Linked DNA regions of Daphnia pulex. The protein of the gene in region 1 purifies or fractionates together with the protein of each later gene. This does not show direct contact. Links are inferred from orthologs where the notes say so. Each region holds a gene or a part of one and is shown in the gene's direction. Other genes may lie near its edges. The genes, in order: succinate dehydrogenase [ubiquinone] flavoprotein subunit, mitochondrial-like; succinate dehydrogenase assembly factor 2, mitochondrial-like.

The links.
Region 2: the proteins of succinate dehydrogenase [ubiquinone] flavoprotein subunit, mitochondrial-like (region 1) and succinate dehydrogenase assembly factor 2, mitochondrial-like purify together in Homo sapiens (co-immunoprecipitation; 3 studies listed by BioGRID and IntAct, counting the BioPlex papers as one, with this or other methods). This does not show direct contact. The link is inferred for Daphnia pulex from reciprocal best matches to the Homo sapiens genes SDHA and SDHAF2.

The regions. Positions count from the first base shown.
Region 1 is NC_060026.1:13,762,852-13,771,038, forward strand, and holds succinate dehydrogenase [ubiquinone] flavoprotein subunit, mitochondrial-like, read left to right. Parts: upstream 1-3,446; 5' UTR 3,447-3,649; coding exon 3,650-3,706; intron 3,707-3,842; coding exon 3,843-3,929; intron 3,930-4,009; coding exon 4,010-4,052; intron 4,053-4,108; coding exon 4,109-4,384; intron 4,385-4,456; coding exon 4,457-4,550; intron 4,551-4,609; coding exon 4,610-4,941; intron 4,942-5,001; coding exon 5,002-5,170; intron 5,171-5,231; coding exon 5,232-5,427; intron 5,428-5,494; coding exon 5,495-5,692; intron 5,693-5,752; coding exon 5,753-6,289; 3' UTR 6,290-6,382; downstream 6,383-8,187. Other genes in the region: acetyl-coenzyme A synthetase 2-like, mitochondrial, read left to right, coding at 79-213, 295-424, 491-587, 654-853, 926-1,101, 1,166-1,466, 1,532-1,671, 1,735-1,938 and 3 more; vascular endothelial growth factor receptor 1-like, read left to right, coding at 7,318-7,581, 7,664-7,841, 7,907-8,049, 8,111-8,187. UniProt on the Homo sapiens protein: Flavoprotein (FP) subunit of succinate dehydrogenase (SDH) that is involved in complex II of the mitochondrial electron transport chain and is responsible for transferring electrons from succinate to ubiquinone (coenzyme Q).
Region 2 is NC_060019.1:9,162,955-9,169,737, reverse strand, and holds succinate dehydrogenase assembly factor 2, mitochondrial-like, read left to right. Parts: upstream 1-3,838; 5' UTR 3,839-3,916; coding exon 3,917-3,976; intron 3,977-4,039; coding exon 4,040-4,095; intron 4,096-4,162; coding exon 4,163-4,243; intron 4,244-4,311; coding exon 4,312-4,585; 3' UTR 4,586-4,640; downstream 4,641-6,783. Other genes in the region: probable DNA-directed RNA polymerases I and III subunit RPAC2, read left to right, coding at 1,301-1,457, 1,514-1,555; electron transfer flavoprotein regulatory factor 1-like, read right to left, coding at 1,593-1,648, 1,734-1,884, 1,955-1,987; cysteine--tRNA ligase, cytoplasmic-like, read right to left, coding at 4,671-4,840, 4,913-5,783, 5,858-6,048, 6,128-6,355, 6,421-6,783.

The DNA.
Region 1 (8,187 bases):
GTTCCTTCAATAAGCTTAGTTTGGTCGATACGCAATTTATGTGCAGAAGAGTAAAATGAGAGAAACATTTATTTTTAGGTCGGATTGAAACCTGAACCCTTTACTATGGATTCCCCCATTCTCCGCAATTTCAATTGCAGTCTACCTGAGCTGAGACATTTGTTTCCTGGTTGTTCTAGTCACGAAGAGCTTTACAATTTAAGCATCAATCAGGTGAAATACTTTATACGCGCCCTTACAACTTATCCGCTTTCGGAAATCTTACAACGTTCATTAATGACAATCTATTTACAGACGGACCTCTTTTGGGGTACTCTTGCCCGTTTGCGCTTGCGTTGGAACCGCGACTTCCAGCAAGTTTCGGATTGCAACATGGAAACGGGCTCGTTTCGTTGGTTCCTGGGAGGCCAACTTAATGTCTCAGGTAAAGCGCTAATCAAAGAGAACAAGTCAAATGAGTCGAATGATTTTTTAAAAAGTCAATTGTTAGTCAACTGTGTCGATCGCCATAAGGAAAAGGATCCCAGCCGAGTTGCCCTCATCTGGGAAAAAGATGAACCTGGACAAGAGGAGCGGGTCACCTACGGGTTGGATATTAACACCATAACAAATTTTTAGTAAATAAAACATTCATTTTAATTGATTGCTGACAGGGAATTATACACGATGATGAATCAAGTGTCAAATGTCCTCAAGTCCCAAGGAGTGCAAAAAGGTGATAGAGTGGCAATTTATATGCCACCTTGTCCACTCGCGGTCGCCTCAATGCTCGCTTGTGCCCGTATCGGAGCCGTCCATTCCGTAGTTTTCGCTGGATTCAGTGCGGAAGCGTTGGCCAGTCGCATCAACGACGGTATCGACTCCTTAAATGTTTACTTTACTTTAAATTGTAATTGTAATTGTAATTGTAATTGTTTGTTATTAGCTGAAGCTAAAATCGTCATTACTGCTGACCAAGGGATGCGAGGAGGCAAATTAATTGAATTGAAGAAAACGGTTGTGACAGCGGTCGAAAAATGTCCGACTGTTAAAACTATTCTCGTAGCCAAAAGAACAGGAAATCCTGTCGTTTCATCACCTCTTGACGTCGATCTCGATGAGGTTGGTTTAAAATAATTAATTTTTCTATTAAGTGTAACATTAACCAACGGAAAATTTTTGTCAGGCGATGGTTAAAGAGAGCGGCGAATGTGAACCGGCCGTTTTGGACAGCGAAGATTTGCTGTTTATGCTCTACACATCCGGCAGCACGGGAAATCCTAAAGGGATAGTTCATTCCCAAGCTGGCTATCTTCTTTATGCGTCGTTGACACATAGTTTAGTTTTCGATTGCAAAGAAGGAGACATTTTTGGTTGCGTGGCTGACATTGGATGGATCACGGGCCATTCTTACGTCGTGTACGGCCCGTTGGCCAACGGAGTCACGACTCTTTTGTTCGAGAGTACGCCAACATATCCCAATCCAGGTCTCGATTTAACTATTCATTTGATCTCAAATGTTGACGTTACATAATTCTTGTTTTCCCAACAGGTCGATATTGGGAGACTGTCCAGCGACTAAAAATTAACCAATTGTATGCAGCTCCTACGGCCATTCGATTATTATTGAAATACGGTGACGAACATGTCGAAAAGTATGATCTCAGCTCCCTTCGCACTCTAGGCTCTGTGGTATGATTGTAAATTAAGTGTCTAATTAAACGTGATCACGGTTCAACGTTATTTTCTTCCCAGGGTGAACCCATCAATGTGGAGGCTTGGCACTGGTACAACAAAGTTGTGGGCAAAGAGAAATGCGTGGTTGTGGACACTTGGTGGCAAACGGAAACGGGAGGCATTTGCATCAGTCCAACACCCTCGGCTCCTGGATCAGAAATTCGTCCCGGTATGCCGATGAGACCGATGTACGGAATCTGGCCTGCTATTCTAGGAGAAAAGGTAATGTCTAATATTTATTTATTTTCCAAATTCATCCTGATTGGAAATCTGTTCTGCAAAGGGGGAGGAGTTGTTAGGCAATGATGTAACAGGTGCCTTGTGTTTGAAAAAGCCTTGGCCGGGAATGGCACGCACCATTTATGGAACCCACAGCCGCTTCCTGGAAACTTATTATCGACCTTTTAATGGCTTCTATTTTACCGGTGATGGTGCTGTTCGACACAGTGATGGCTACTATCAGATAACGGGAAGAATGGATGACGTTATCAACGTTACTGGACATCGACTCGGTACTGCCGAGGTGGAAAATGCCCTGGTATTACAACAAATATTTTAAATTAAAAGAACTCGGATGACAGTTTTTCGTTCCAACAGGGTCAACATCCGTCTGTAGCAGAGTCAGCCGTTGTGGGGTATCCTTGTAGTGACAAGGGCGAAGGCATTTACGCTTACGTCACTCTTAAGGACGGATTCGTCGCTGATGCCAAGATAGAAGCTGAATTAAGAGGAATTGTCCGGCAGAAAATTGCTGCCTATGCGATTCCGGATGTAATACAGGTATAATAATAAAATGGCAGGAAAATTTCTTAATCATAATGCTAATGTTGGTTCTCGACGTGGTACATTTCAATAGATCTGCCCTAGTTTGCCCAAGACGCGATCCGGCAAGATTATGCGACGAATATTACGTAAAGTTGCGGCGGATGAGACCGACAATCTGGGTGATATTTCAACGTTGGCTGATCCTGCTGTTGTCGAGGATCTTGTCTCTCGCCATCGAACCTTAAAATCAAATCACCTGAATAAAGCTAGGACTAGTAAATTGTAGTGTAATGATTTTGACATTTCATAACGTCAAATGGCATCGACTCTTTCGTCCGTTATACAGTTGACTAAACATCATCGCCATCGAACCCTGAAGATTCAAGGGAATTAGGTCAAATTTAGTCCTTGGAATTATTGACACCTCACGTTTAAATCACCAGCATTAACTAATTTTATGTTGACTCACTCTTTCGACATTCTTCTGTTACTTCTAAACGAAAGCGGATTTCCATAACTGAATGGTTTGAGCTTTTTTCTGACTTCGCCTTCTGCTGCCTTATAGTTGTAAAAATAATTACAAAAGTACAAATAAAAACAACTAAGCCTATGATTTCATATGGTGCTGAAATGTAAGACAATCGCAATGAAATACACTGCCATCTTTAAGAGATTGTGTCGCTTTACTTTCATGATAATCAAAGGATTGTCCCAATAACGAATATCGTGAGCGGTATTTTGCATTCACGACGTCAAGTTCTGATTGGGCTCTAGCTAGTTTACTAGCTAGCTGATAAGTGGCTAACAATATTTGTTTGTTATGCTAGTTAAAACTTAAATTCAAAATATAGGATATTGATTAAAAATCCAAGTCCAAGTACCCGAAATTTTGAGTTTCTATTTTAGGGTAATTTCATTTGACTCATTTCTCTTTACTCAAGTGAAAATATTTTGAATTTTGGGTATTTCTGTTTATCCCATGTTTGTCCTTTGGATCTTCTATTATTATCCGCTTGGAGCGCTAGCTCTACACCGTGCATGATTTTCTATTCATTTCCTTACGTAACTTTTACACGACGTTGTCCGGTCAATTTGGCTATCCAAAAAGTTAGTCAAAAACGCAGTTCTCGTCATCGAAAGAGGTTCAATTTTACCTCTCACTTAAACCATGGCTAACATTTTGAAGCTCTCACTGGAATTGGCTGGAAAGGTGTCCTCTCCTTTGGTGAGTGTCGAAAATATCAACGTCGATAAAACTTAGTTAAACTTTAAAATTTATCAAGATTAGTGTATTATTATGATATTCACCCAAGATATTGACCAAATAACTAATTGAGATGTTACCAAAATGGAATTTGTAGCTTAATGCAAGGCCAGCTGTGATTGGTAACCGTAATTTCCACTTCACCATTGATGGACGCAAGGATTCTAATGTTGGAACAAGCCAGGTTAGTTGTAAAATTTTATTGGTAGACCCATCAGATAGAGAAAAATTAACCCTTTCTATTTGCTGTTGGCTTGTAATCAGATTTCCCGAGACTATCCAGTTGTTGATCACACCTATGATGCAGGTATTTTGATTACATAACAGTTAAACAAAAATTGGTATTAATTGTTTGTTTTATAGTTGTTGTTGGTGCTGGTGGTGCTGGACTTCGTGCAGCTTTTGGCTTGGTTGAAAAAGGATTCAAAACAGCTGTGATCACAAAGCTGTTTCCCACCCGATCACACACTGTTGCTGCCCAAGGTGGAATTAATGCAGCTCTGGGAAATATGGAAAAAGATGACTGGAAGTGGCACATGTATGACACTGTTAAAGGCTCAGATTGGCTTGGAGATCAAGACGCTATCCATTACATGACCAAAGAAGCTCCTCACGCAGTTATTGAGTTGGAGAACTATGGTATGTCCCACTTATCAATAATTTCTTCTACAGCAGACAATTGATCATATTTCCCCTTCGCATATCATTAAGGTATGCCTTTTAGCCGCACCCAAGACGGCAAAATCTACCAGAGGGCTTTTGGTGGACAGTCCTACAATTATGGCAAAGGTGGACAAGCTCACAGGTATACCTAAATTATTAAAACTTCAAGGCAGAAATTAAAAATCCTTAATTATTAACTAGATGTTGCTGCGTTGCTGATCGTACTGGCCATTCTCTTCTTCACACCTTGTACGGCCAGTCTCTTCGCTACGATTGCAATTACTTCGTCGAATATTTTGCTTTGGATCTGTTGATGGAGGAAGGCGAATGCCGCGGCGTGATCGCTCTTTGTTTGGAGGACGGATCCATCCATCGTTTCAGATCCAAGAACACTGTTCTCGCTACCGGTGGATATGGTCGAACCTTCTTTTCATGTACTTCTGCTCACACTTGCACTGGTGACGGTAACGCCATGGTGTCTCGTGCTGGACTTCCTCTTCAAGATTTGGAGTTCGTTCAGTTCCATCCTACTGGTAAAGGAATTGCAAATTAGCCTATTAGATCGTTTGGACTAAATTTGACCATAACAATAGGAATTTACGGAGCTGGATGTCTCATTACCGAGGGTTGCCGTGGAGAAGGTGGTTACCTTATCAACAGCGAAGGCGAACGATTTATGGAAAGATACGCTCCAGTGGCTAAGGATTTGGCCTCACGTGACGTCGTATCTCGTGCTATGACTATTGAAATCCGTGAAGGACGGTAATATCTTTGCCAAATCAAAGAAATGTATAATTATGCTCAAACTTTGATGCTCTTGTAGCGGTTGTGGCCCCGAGAAGGATCATGTATACCTTCAACTTCATCATCTTCCTCCACAACAGTTGGCTGAACGCCTTCCTGGTATTTCTGAAACGGCCATGATTTTTGCCGGCGTTGACGTCACTCGTGAGCCGATCCCAGTGTTGCCTACCGTCCATTACAACATGGGTGGCGTTCCCACGAACTTCAAGGGCCAGGTAACATCGCTTATCATCTTGTTTGCAAATGAAACGACTCCTGAAATAATTTTATTTTCATCCCCAGGTTATTACGCACAAAGATGGAGCTGATGTTATTGTACCTGGTTTGTACGCTGCTGGAGAAGCTGCCTGCGCATCCGTGCACGGTGCTAACCGCCTGGGTGCCAATTCTTTGCTCGATTTGGTCGTTTTCGGCCGAGCATGTGCCCTAACTATTGCCGAAGAGAACAAGCCATCCGAAACTATCGGAAAATTGAGTCCGGTAATATTCGTTTATTTGATTTTCTATGATTTTGTGTTGTTCAATCATTTGTCTTGATAGAACGCTGGCGAAAGTTCCGTGGCGAATTTGGACAAGCTTCGTTTTGCCAATGGTAGTGTCACCACGGCCGAACTTCGTGGCAAGATGCAGAAAACTATGCAGAATCACGCAGCCGTCTTCCGTACTGGAGACGTTTTGGTAGAGGGATGTAAGAAGATGTCTGATCTTTGGCCATCATTGCACGACATCAAGGTGGCCGATCGCGGCCTAGTCTGGAATTCTGATTTGGTTGAGACCCTTGAGCTCCAGAACCTCATGTTGAACGGCATTCAGACCATCTACAGTGCCGAAGCCAGGAAAGAATCTCGCGGTGCCCATGCCCGCGAAGATTTCAAAGACCGTGTCGACGAGTACGACTTCAAGAAGCCGATGGAAGGTCAACAGAAGCAACCTCTAGAGCAGCACTGGCGCAAGCACACACTCTCCTGGTGTGATCAGGAGAAAGGAGATGTCACTTTGCAATACCGCCCCGTCATCGATGAAACGCTAGACGAGAAAGAGTGTGCGACGGTTCCCCCCGCATTGCGCGTGTATTAAAATACAACTAATAAATTCCTGTATCTATCGCCGTGTTCCGATTGTAGCCACTGAAAATAGACTAATACATTTTACTGAGGTGTTCTTGACAAATTTTTTCATGCAATTTTTGTAAATTTAGGTTGGGAAAATTCTGAAAGGTGAAGTAATTAGATTTTATTGTTTTGAATCATTTACATCTAAGTAACTTTTGATCCTTGAGTTTCTTTTCTCTTTTTTAGAATTCTCCGTCCGCTATCGACCTATACTACCTCACCAAGGCCACGTCAAAGTAATTTGATCTCTTGGTCTTTTCAAGTTGCCCGAGGGATGGAGTACTTAGCTGAAAAAAAGGTAAAAGACACCAGGGTTTTTTTCTTCCTTAATCAGCATTCATTAATTATGATTTCAGAACATTTTATTATTGCTCTTAACAGGTTCTTCACGGTGATTTGGCCGCCCGAATGTTTTGTTAGCTGACAATGGAGTGGCTAAAGTAGCCGATTTCGGAATGGCTCGTAAAATGTATTACGATGAAAGTTACGAAAAGGAAGAGGTGGATGGACTAATTTCTTCAGTGCACTTGATCCTGGTAGCCAAACAATGTTCTGCTCAACAGATCCGTTTAATTCCGGATATTCCAGAACAAGTGCTGGTTGCTGTAGGTTTCAACATCACCCCCAATATGTATTATGTAACCACAGGAAAACAAAGATCTGAGGTTCTTTCAACTATCGAAAATGAAAAATGCCTAAGGCTTTGAAAGAATTACCTTATATGGTTATCATAGGGGTTAAAATCGTTTCCGAGAAAGGAGAAAGCCTCCGCAGCTCCCCCTGCTTCAATGTTGTTTGTTGTCCGTTTCGAAACATCGATGCGACCTTAGTATTCGAACTGGTGTGAGTATTTAAACCATTTCGATTTTTTTTTTTGAAAAGCCTTGAAATCCTTTCGGTGATAATTGATAACCCTTATTGTGTGAGTGTCGTGAATCTAAATTTCATTTTAAAGTGAGAAAGCTTATTCTTCGTGTGTTGTAATTTGTCAAAATGTTTTATGAACCCCCTGTACGACTTTGCATTTCATCAGTCAATTCGAGATGGATAGGAGGACTACTTTTAGTACACTTGATCCTGGTAGCCAAACAATGTTCCGCCCAACAAATCCGTTTAATTCCGTATATTCCAGAGCAAGTGTTTGCTGTAGGTTCCAACATCACCTTGACTTGCATCTTTGAAGATGTAGAATTATATAAGGACAATTCGTTGTGGCAGGCGTGGCAACTGCCCGACTATGTTGCCAAACATCCGGAAGTATAAATCACCTCATAAGTTTTATTGAAAGTTATTTGCCTTTTTTAAATATTTATTTGTGTGTCTCTTATTTTTTTAATAGTTGAGCGATGCAAGCCACCGCCTTAGTCAGACGTATGTTAAGAACGGAACGCACATGATATCGACGATGACCCTCACAAACGCTGAAACCAAAGACACTGGATATTTCGGTTGTACCGTGCGTTTGTTTCGTCTGCGTGACGAGAACTATGAAGTGAAACAATACGTCTACGTTTCAAGTTTGTTATACCTTGTTCATAGCGCAATAACTGATGTAAATCAAGTTTATTGATTGTCCTTTTAGGTAATGACAATAATGTTTTCATTGACGACCAACAAGGTGGCATGAAGAACAGCACCTTTATTTTTGAACACGGAAATTCTGGCCTTGTCCCGTGCAAGTCCACTCATCCTAATGTTACCGTCTCGCTCATCCGCAACTCTCGAGTAAACTAAAATTTTATTCGCAAGACAATATTATGTTAATATAATTATTCAACATTAATAGAATTTATTATCTGAACCCAATTCAAACTGGTTGATGGAATCGAAACGCGGATTGATACTTCATCAAGCGACGTTTGA
Region 2 (6,783 bases), on another chromosome or scaffold:
TCGACTGATTTGCCCGTTTCCTTTTCCTGTTTTCCTTGGGGTTTCGTGGAACGGATGAGTTTCCGTTTTTTGTTTCCACTTTGTTTGAAATCCCTTGGATGTATCTGAAAAAGAATCGATTTAAATTTGGAGCTAGGGTAATACCCAGGCTCCTGCAAAAATCCGGGCTGGATGACTCAATTAAGTGAATCTGGTTTTTTTCTGTTGTTGGTGGCGCCACTTGCGGCGTGCCACTACACTTTGCGAGAGAGGAAATAAAGTTTTTTTTTTTTTGGTGGCGCCCCTTGCGGCGTGCCACTACACTGAGCGTGAGCGAGAAATAATTTTTTTTTTTTTTGTTGGTGGCGCCCCTTGCGGCGTGCCACTACAGTGAGCGTGAGAGAGAAATAGTTTTTTTTTTTTTCGTTTGGATGCACCGATGTTTCGGGATCCTATGTAAGAGGGTTTTTTTTCTTTTTTTTTTTTAAGGAAGGACAGATGGACAGAGAATATTCATTCAATAATTGTATTTAGCGGTTGTTTTGGAGACCTTTCGGCTCCTCTGTGAATGTTGAGAGAAAGAGAAAGATTATTTCTGACTCGATACCATCAGCAAGCGAAGAATGGATACGGGAGGACACACGTGCAATGAAAAGAGGAGACGAAATCCCAGTAGTTTAGCCCAGGCCGATCTATGGGCCAGAGGTTGGGACGGCGTGTTCAATGGCCGCCCCCTCAGGCTAGCCCGACAACGAAAGGCACAAAAAAGTCGAAAGAAAAAAAATGGAATTTTTGGGCATAGGTTCCCCCCTTTTCTACGTCTTTTTTGTTTTTACAATTTAGTAGTTTTAGTTTGGGCAGATTTTAACCACCCAACAACAAAAGAAAGAAACAAAGATAAACGTTTGGGGGGTCTAGAATTGTGTAGCCCCAACCGGCTTCACAATTTTGAGTTTTGAGTGAGTTGATTTGAGTGATTTGAGAGGGAGGACACGGTTATGCACTGGGTTAAAAACCGTTCGAAGGACCATGTAGAAAATGTAATAGGGATGTTCGGCGTGTCGGGCCGTTTACTTACAGTTTCCAAGTTGAATAAATTAGACACGAACAAAACCGTGTCTTTTACCTCTCGTCTATTTTAACACACTCAATATTGTACAGTAAATTGGGGGGAAATAAACAATAGGGGGTAGGGTAACAACGACTGAATTTGGGGCCACCTATCGGGGGCCCCCAAGGCAATAGTCGCGTAGGTGCGCCGGTGTTGTTGTGCGGCGTCCTGATCTCGTCGTCGTCTGTTGGAATGGAATATTCCTAACAGTCCTGATGTTATTTTCTGTGGCTACACCATCCCTCATCCATCTGAAAACAAGTTGCACTTGAGGATTGAAACAAAAAGCATATCTGCTGTTGATGCTCTCAGAGAGGGACTTGAACAACTGCAAAACTTGAGTGATCATATCCTTAAAACATTTGAGGTAATTGTAATGAAACATCTCAGTTATATTTGAGTTAATAATTTGTATTATTACAGACAGCAGTGGTGGACTATAAGTCAAATCAGATGGAAGTGTAAAGTTTTCAATGTTGTATTGATAATCAGAAATACAACCTCATTCTTCGTAATACCTTTTCTTTAATGCACGGTATTTTCTTAGCATGTAGAGTGCTACAGAAACATAAATTATTAAGTATGTATAAGTAAATATTAATAATGTATTTCCTTTCGAAGAAAACAAGAAGTGATAAGTTACCTTCTAGTTCTTTGATAACAAATTCTCCTCTTGCTATTGCTGAGTCAATTTCTTTTTGGTCTTTCAGAGCACTGTTCTTCATGAAAGCATTTTTTAGTTTATTACGAAAATATGGGTAACCACCTGGGTAATCTTTGCCAAGATGTAACATCTACACAGTTCCACAGAAATGTAAGTGAAACATCTTCATGATCATAGTAAAAGCAGTAGGTTCACAATACCGTTTTGTACAATGCACGAGACTGCTGCGACATTTTAAAAACGAATGTGGATTGGTTTTATTTCAAAAATTTTAGTTTTCTCCTTAGTCCACAGCAATGGCACACAAACAAACCAACTGCTTAAACTGGTAGTAAATAAAAAACAAAACAAAATTACAACATGCTAAACATGCAGGACGCCAAAAGGCATAAAAATACGATCAATTTACAAACTCTTGAAAAAAAACATTACATCTACGTGTGAAACGTCAAGGAAAAATCAAGGTGAACTCCTCCTTTTGTAGTACACTTCGACCCTGAGGCAGTACTGTTCTAGTACAACAAAATCTCGTCTTCGTCTGCTGTACTTTTGTTGGGTGTTACTAAAACGCGAAGCGAAACGGCGGAACGCGAAACTCCTAAAACGCGAAACAGTGGTGCGAAACGGTCCCAAAAATTTTCGGGACCGTTTCGCAGTTTAGGCGCTAGAGGTCTTACTAAAATGCGAAACCGTAGACGCGAAACAGTCGACGTCAGTAGCTCAGTGCATTGTTAAAAGCATGGTTAAAAGTTAACTACTTACTAACCTAACTAACTACCGAACTGGCTGTTGATATGTATGTTGGCAGTTGAGTTTAAATGTGTGTACACGGAACGCTCTGTCTCGGTTTGTCTCATTGACAAAAGCAGCAGCAAAAAATAAAAAAAGCAGAAAAGTTGAAATTATTCGAGAGAGAAAAAGAAAAACAAGTTCGTTTCAAAGAGACTAAGTAGTCACGAAGACGTCGTTATCGTTCGTTTTTTTTGGCTTCTTCTTCTTTTTTACTCTTTTTTTCTCGTCGACTGATGTTAAAAAAAAAGAAAAAGTATTAATATGATACTAAAATGTCTACACGGTTGGTACTATTATACACATCATCCCACAGCTTCAAACCAAAAATATAATATTTCAACAGGTGTGGGTTAATGATGATGAGCACCGGTCTCGTCATATCACGACCACCACTTCTTTTATAATTTAGCGTTATAGACGACAAAATAAATCTATTCCGATCAATTCTGATTGCGAGTCAAACACATAAAAATGTCGTCCTTGGGAATATGATTTCTTTTTCTATCAAATTAAAAAAGAAAATAATAAAATAGAAGATTTATTTTTTGGGGTTATTTTGTTTAAGAGCCTTTTTTTTCTAAACGCTCCGGAGCATTCGAATAAAAGAGCATCCATCAGCAATGGCGAGACGTTGTGCAAGAGCTACTTCGGTTTGGCCACGCTCCAAGTGCTTCGACCGGCTTCGACAAAAGACGACGGGAAATACACAGCCATATGGCCAGGGTGAGAAAGCGCAAAGCGGCATACATGCATTCATTGCCTTACTCATTATCAAAATCAATTAACGGCGAATTATCTTGTGTAGAATTGATGCCCAAATAGCTATACCGGCCAGTTTAATTTCAGAAACTATAACCTATTTATGTCTGAGTCTGTAATTATTGACTTTGTACGAAAATATGTATGAATAAACCAACAGAACTTGTTACCAAGCCCATCTTTGTTATTCAATTACTCTTTGAATCTGTTCAAACTACAATAAACGGTGGAATTCAAGATGTTCATATTATTTATTTAAATTAAATAATAGTATCATTTTTAAATTTCAAAAGTAAAATATTTCGCAAGTAGTTTCGCAATTTAGGATGCCCTTGGGCGTTCAGAAATTTAAAAACTGGATATTTTTTATATTTCAAAAATCAAAGGTTTCGCAAATGGTTTCGCACTTTAGGATGCCCTTAGGCCATTGGACCCGCGAAACGGTCCCCAATTTTTGGGACCGTTTCGCACCACTGTTTCGCGTTTTAGGAGTTTCGCGTTCCGCCGTTTCGCTTCGCGTTTTAGTAACACCCACTTTTGTTTACGACTTTTACGTAACTCAGTAAAGACGTTTTGGCTAGCTTCATAATTTATAAAGAAAAATTTTCACAATGGCTCAATCAAATATTTTTTCTCGACTTCTACATCCAATCAGACAGTTAACATTTAGGGTAGGTGTTGATTTGTTAAAGAATGGTTCATGAAACTAAATTGTTATGTAATATTTTCAATAGTGTGATAAAGTTACCGTATTGAGATTTCTGTCATCCGACACCAGCAGCGGAGATATGTATGAATTCTATAATCTTAAGATTTTTTTTCATTGATAGAATAATATAAGTTGTTAAAAATATCAGGTACCCCTCACCTCAAACTGAACCATGGATTCCACCATATGTTGAAAGGGAAAATGAGTCATCCACTTTGAAAAAGGCCAGGTATTGGTTTTCTCTTCAATTACTTATATCTGAGTTTATTGTTGTAAACAATTTTCACATCTCCACAGACTAATGTATCAATCCAGAAAACGTGGTATGTTGGAAAATGGTTTGATTCTCAGCACATTTGCCTCACGCTACTTGGATGGAATGAGTGATGATCAAATGTCTTTATATGACAGACTGATCAATTTACCCTCAAATGATTGGGATATTTACTATTGGGCAACTGGTGTAAGAGAGACACCTGAAGAGTTTAACAATGAAATCATGGATCTATTGAAGGATCATGTAAAAAATAAAGATAAGGAATCAAGATTTAAACAACCTGATTTATATTGATGATTTCCATATGGATGATTGTATTTAGAATTGATTTAATACATCTTAAATCTTATTTTTCCCACCAACTTATTCTTGTATTGCATCAACTCTCATTCTTTGATGAAACCTCCAGCAAGTATGCTTTATAAACTTTTTCTTGGGCTTGCCATAGTTTCTCCAACTTCTTAAGCTGGCCTTTGCTGACTTCTTTGCCATCCTTGTCTAAGGTTGGCATCCCTTTCTCGTCGAAAGCAGAATATTTATCCGTTTCACCTAGATCAAAGAAACACGTTAATCATTTAAGTTATAATGATTGATGGCACAAACAATTAAATCTATCTTTACTTCTGAATAGTTCAGTGGGAGGCATGCGTCGTTTTGCTTCCTTTTCGGCTTCTTTGGCTGCTAATTCAGCCTTTTTACGTTCTTTCTCAGCTTTTTTGGCTTCCTCAGCCAATCTTTTGTCTTCTTTCTCCTTAAGCAGTTCCTCACGTGGGACAAGCTTCAAAGCAGGAGGCTGATTTTCCCGATCTTCGAGTCTTACGCCCAGGTTAGGCAAAACGTCATCTCGAATTTGATCGCAAAGTTCGAGAACGCGTGTTGCACGTAATTGACGAGCCTCTTTTCTCACTTCTTCTCGGAAGTCTGCGAGCGCTTCAAGGACAGGCATTACGATTTCTTCAACATTATCGGTACCTCCACTAGACGATTCAGAGGGGAATCCAAGGGTTTGCTTGCCTTCAATCACGCCAAAGATCTGGAACAACCGCGTTACATATTCGGCAATGACCTTGATTAGAACCCGGTTGGCAGATTGCTTCAGCTGTGCCAGGTATTTATTGCAAGCCGATATCATGCTTTTAATCGCTTCCAGAGACGTTTTAGTGTCTATGTTATCGCAGAGAGCTTCCCGTACTCGATTTTTCGTTTCGACGAATCGGGTGTTGACTTCCTGCTCAGCTGTGCTCCATTTTTGAAAATATTCTGCGGCAGTATTCGATGACGGGCCATTCCTCAAAAGATCCTTGGCATTTAAGAAGAATTCCCTTAGCATTTTTTCGTAACTCGATGCTTCATCCATTGCACTGTCACTATAGTCGAGTGTTTCTTTCCATGGGTGAAGCAAGAAAAAGATGCGCAATTCGCGGCTGCTATTTCTACTCAACGCATCTTGTATGGTGATGAAATTCTTGAGGGATTTAGACATTTTACAACCCTGTAGAATAATGTCCATTATAGTTTTCTATTGGGTGGAAGAACGGAAAAAGTTTACGGAAGTTTGTATAGTACCTGGATGGTCAGATGACCAGTATGAAGGAAATAGCGAACCCATTCATCATTATCGTAGTAGGCTTCAGATTGGGCTAGTTCATTGTCGTGATGAGGGAACTTTAGGTCGACGCCTCCTGTGTGAATATCCATTGATGACCCTAGAATTGCACTTGCCATCACACTGCATTCAATATGCCACCCAGGACGTCCTGAATAGAATAAAATAAAATAAAATAATTTAATTATTAATTCATTACGTTGGTTCGACATTTTTTAGTTGAATTTTACCTTTCCCCCAAGGAGAATCCCAGGAAGGTTCACCACTCTTTGAAGTTTTCCATAGCGCAAAATCGTTAGGTGATTTTTTCTCACTTAACCGATCTTCAGAGACACTTAGATCACCTTCTCCTTCTTGCAATGCCTTTGAGTCACCGTAAGCTTCAGGTACCAATTTCGCATACTTGTGATTCTTTTGCGAATCGAACTTTGAGACATTGAAGTATACAGAGCCATTTGCTATACAATGACAAAAGAGTCATTAACCGTGACGAGATAATAGAAAAAAAGAGATAAAAACTCACCTGAATATGCAAGTCCACGTTCAATGATTCGTGAGATGTAATCCACGATCTCCGGGACATATTCGCTAACACGCGTAATAACATCGGCTGGTAGAACATTGAGAGCGGCCATATCTTTGTAAAACTCTTCTTCCCAATGTCGCGGAAGAGACGCGAAAATTGCGTTATCTGAAACATCCATGCCGTGCTTCGAGTCGAGCCAATCGCTCAAGACGTCTTTGGCTTCAGCCAACAAAAAGCTCTTTGCTTCGGATAATCCTTGACCAAGCTTGATTGTTTCGGTGAATTTTTCAATCGCGGCAGTGACTTTGGCCAACATCTTCTCCTGCATAACTTTCTTGTCGGGATCGGTGGTTACTGCCA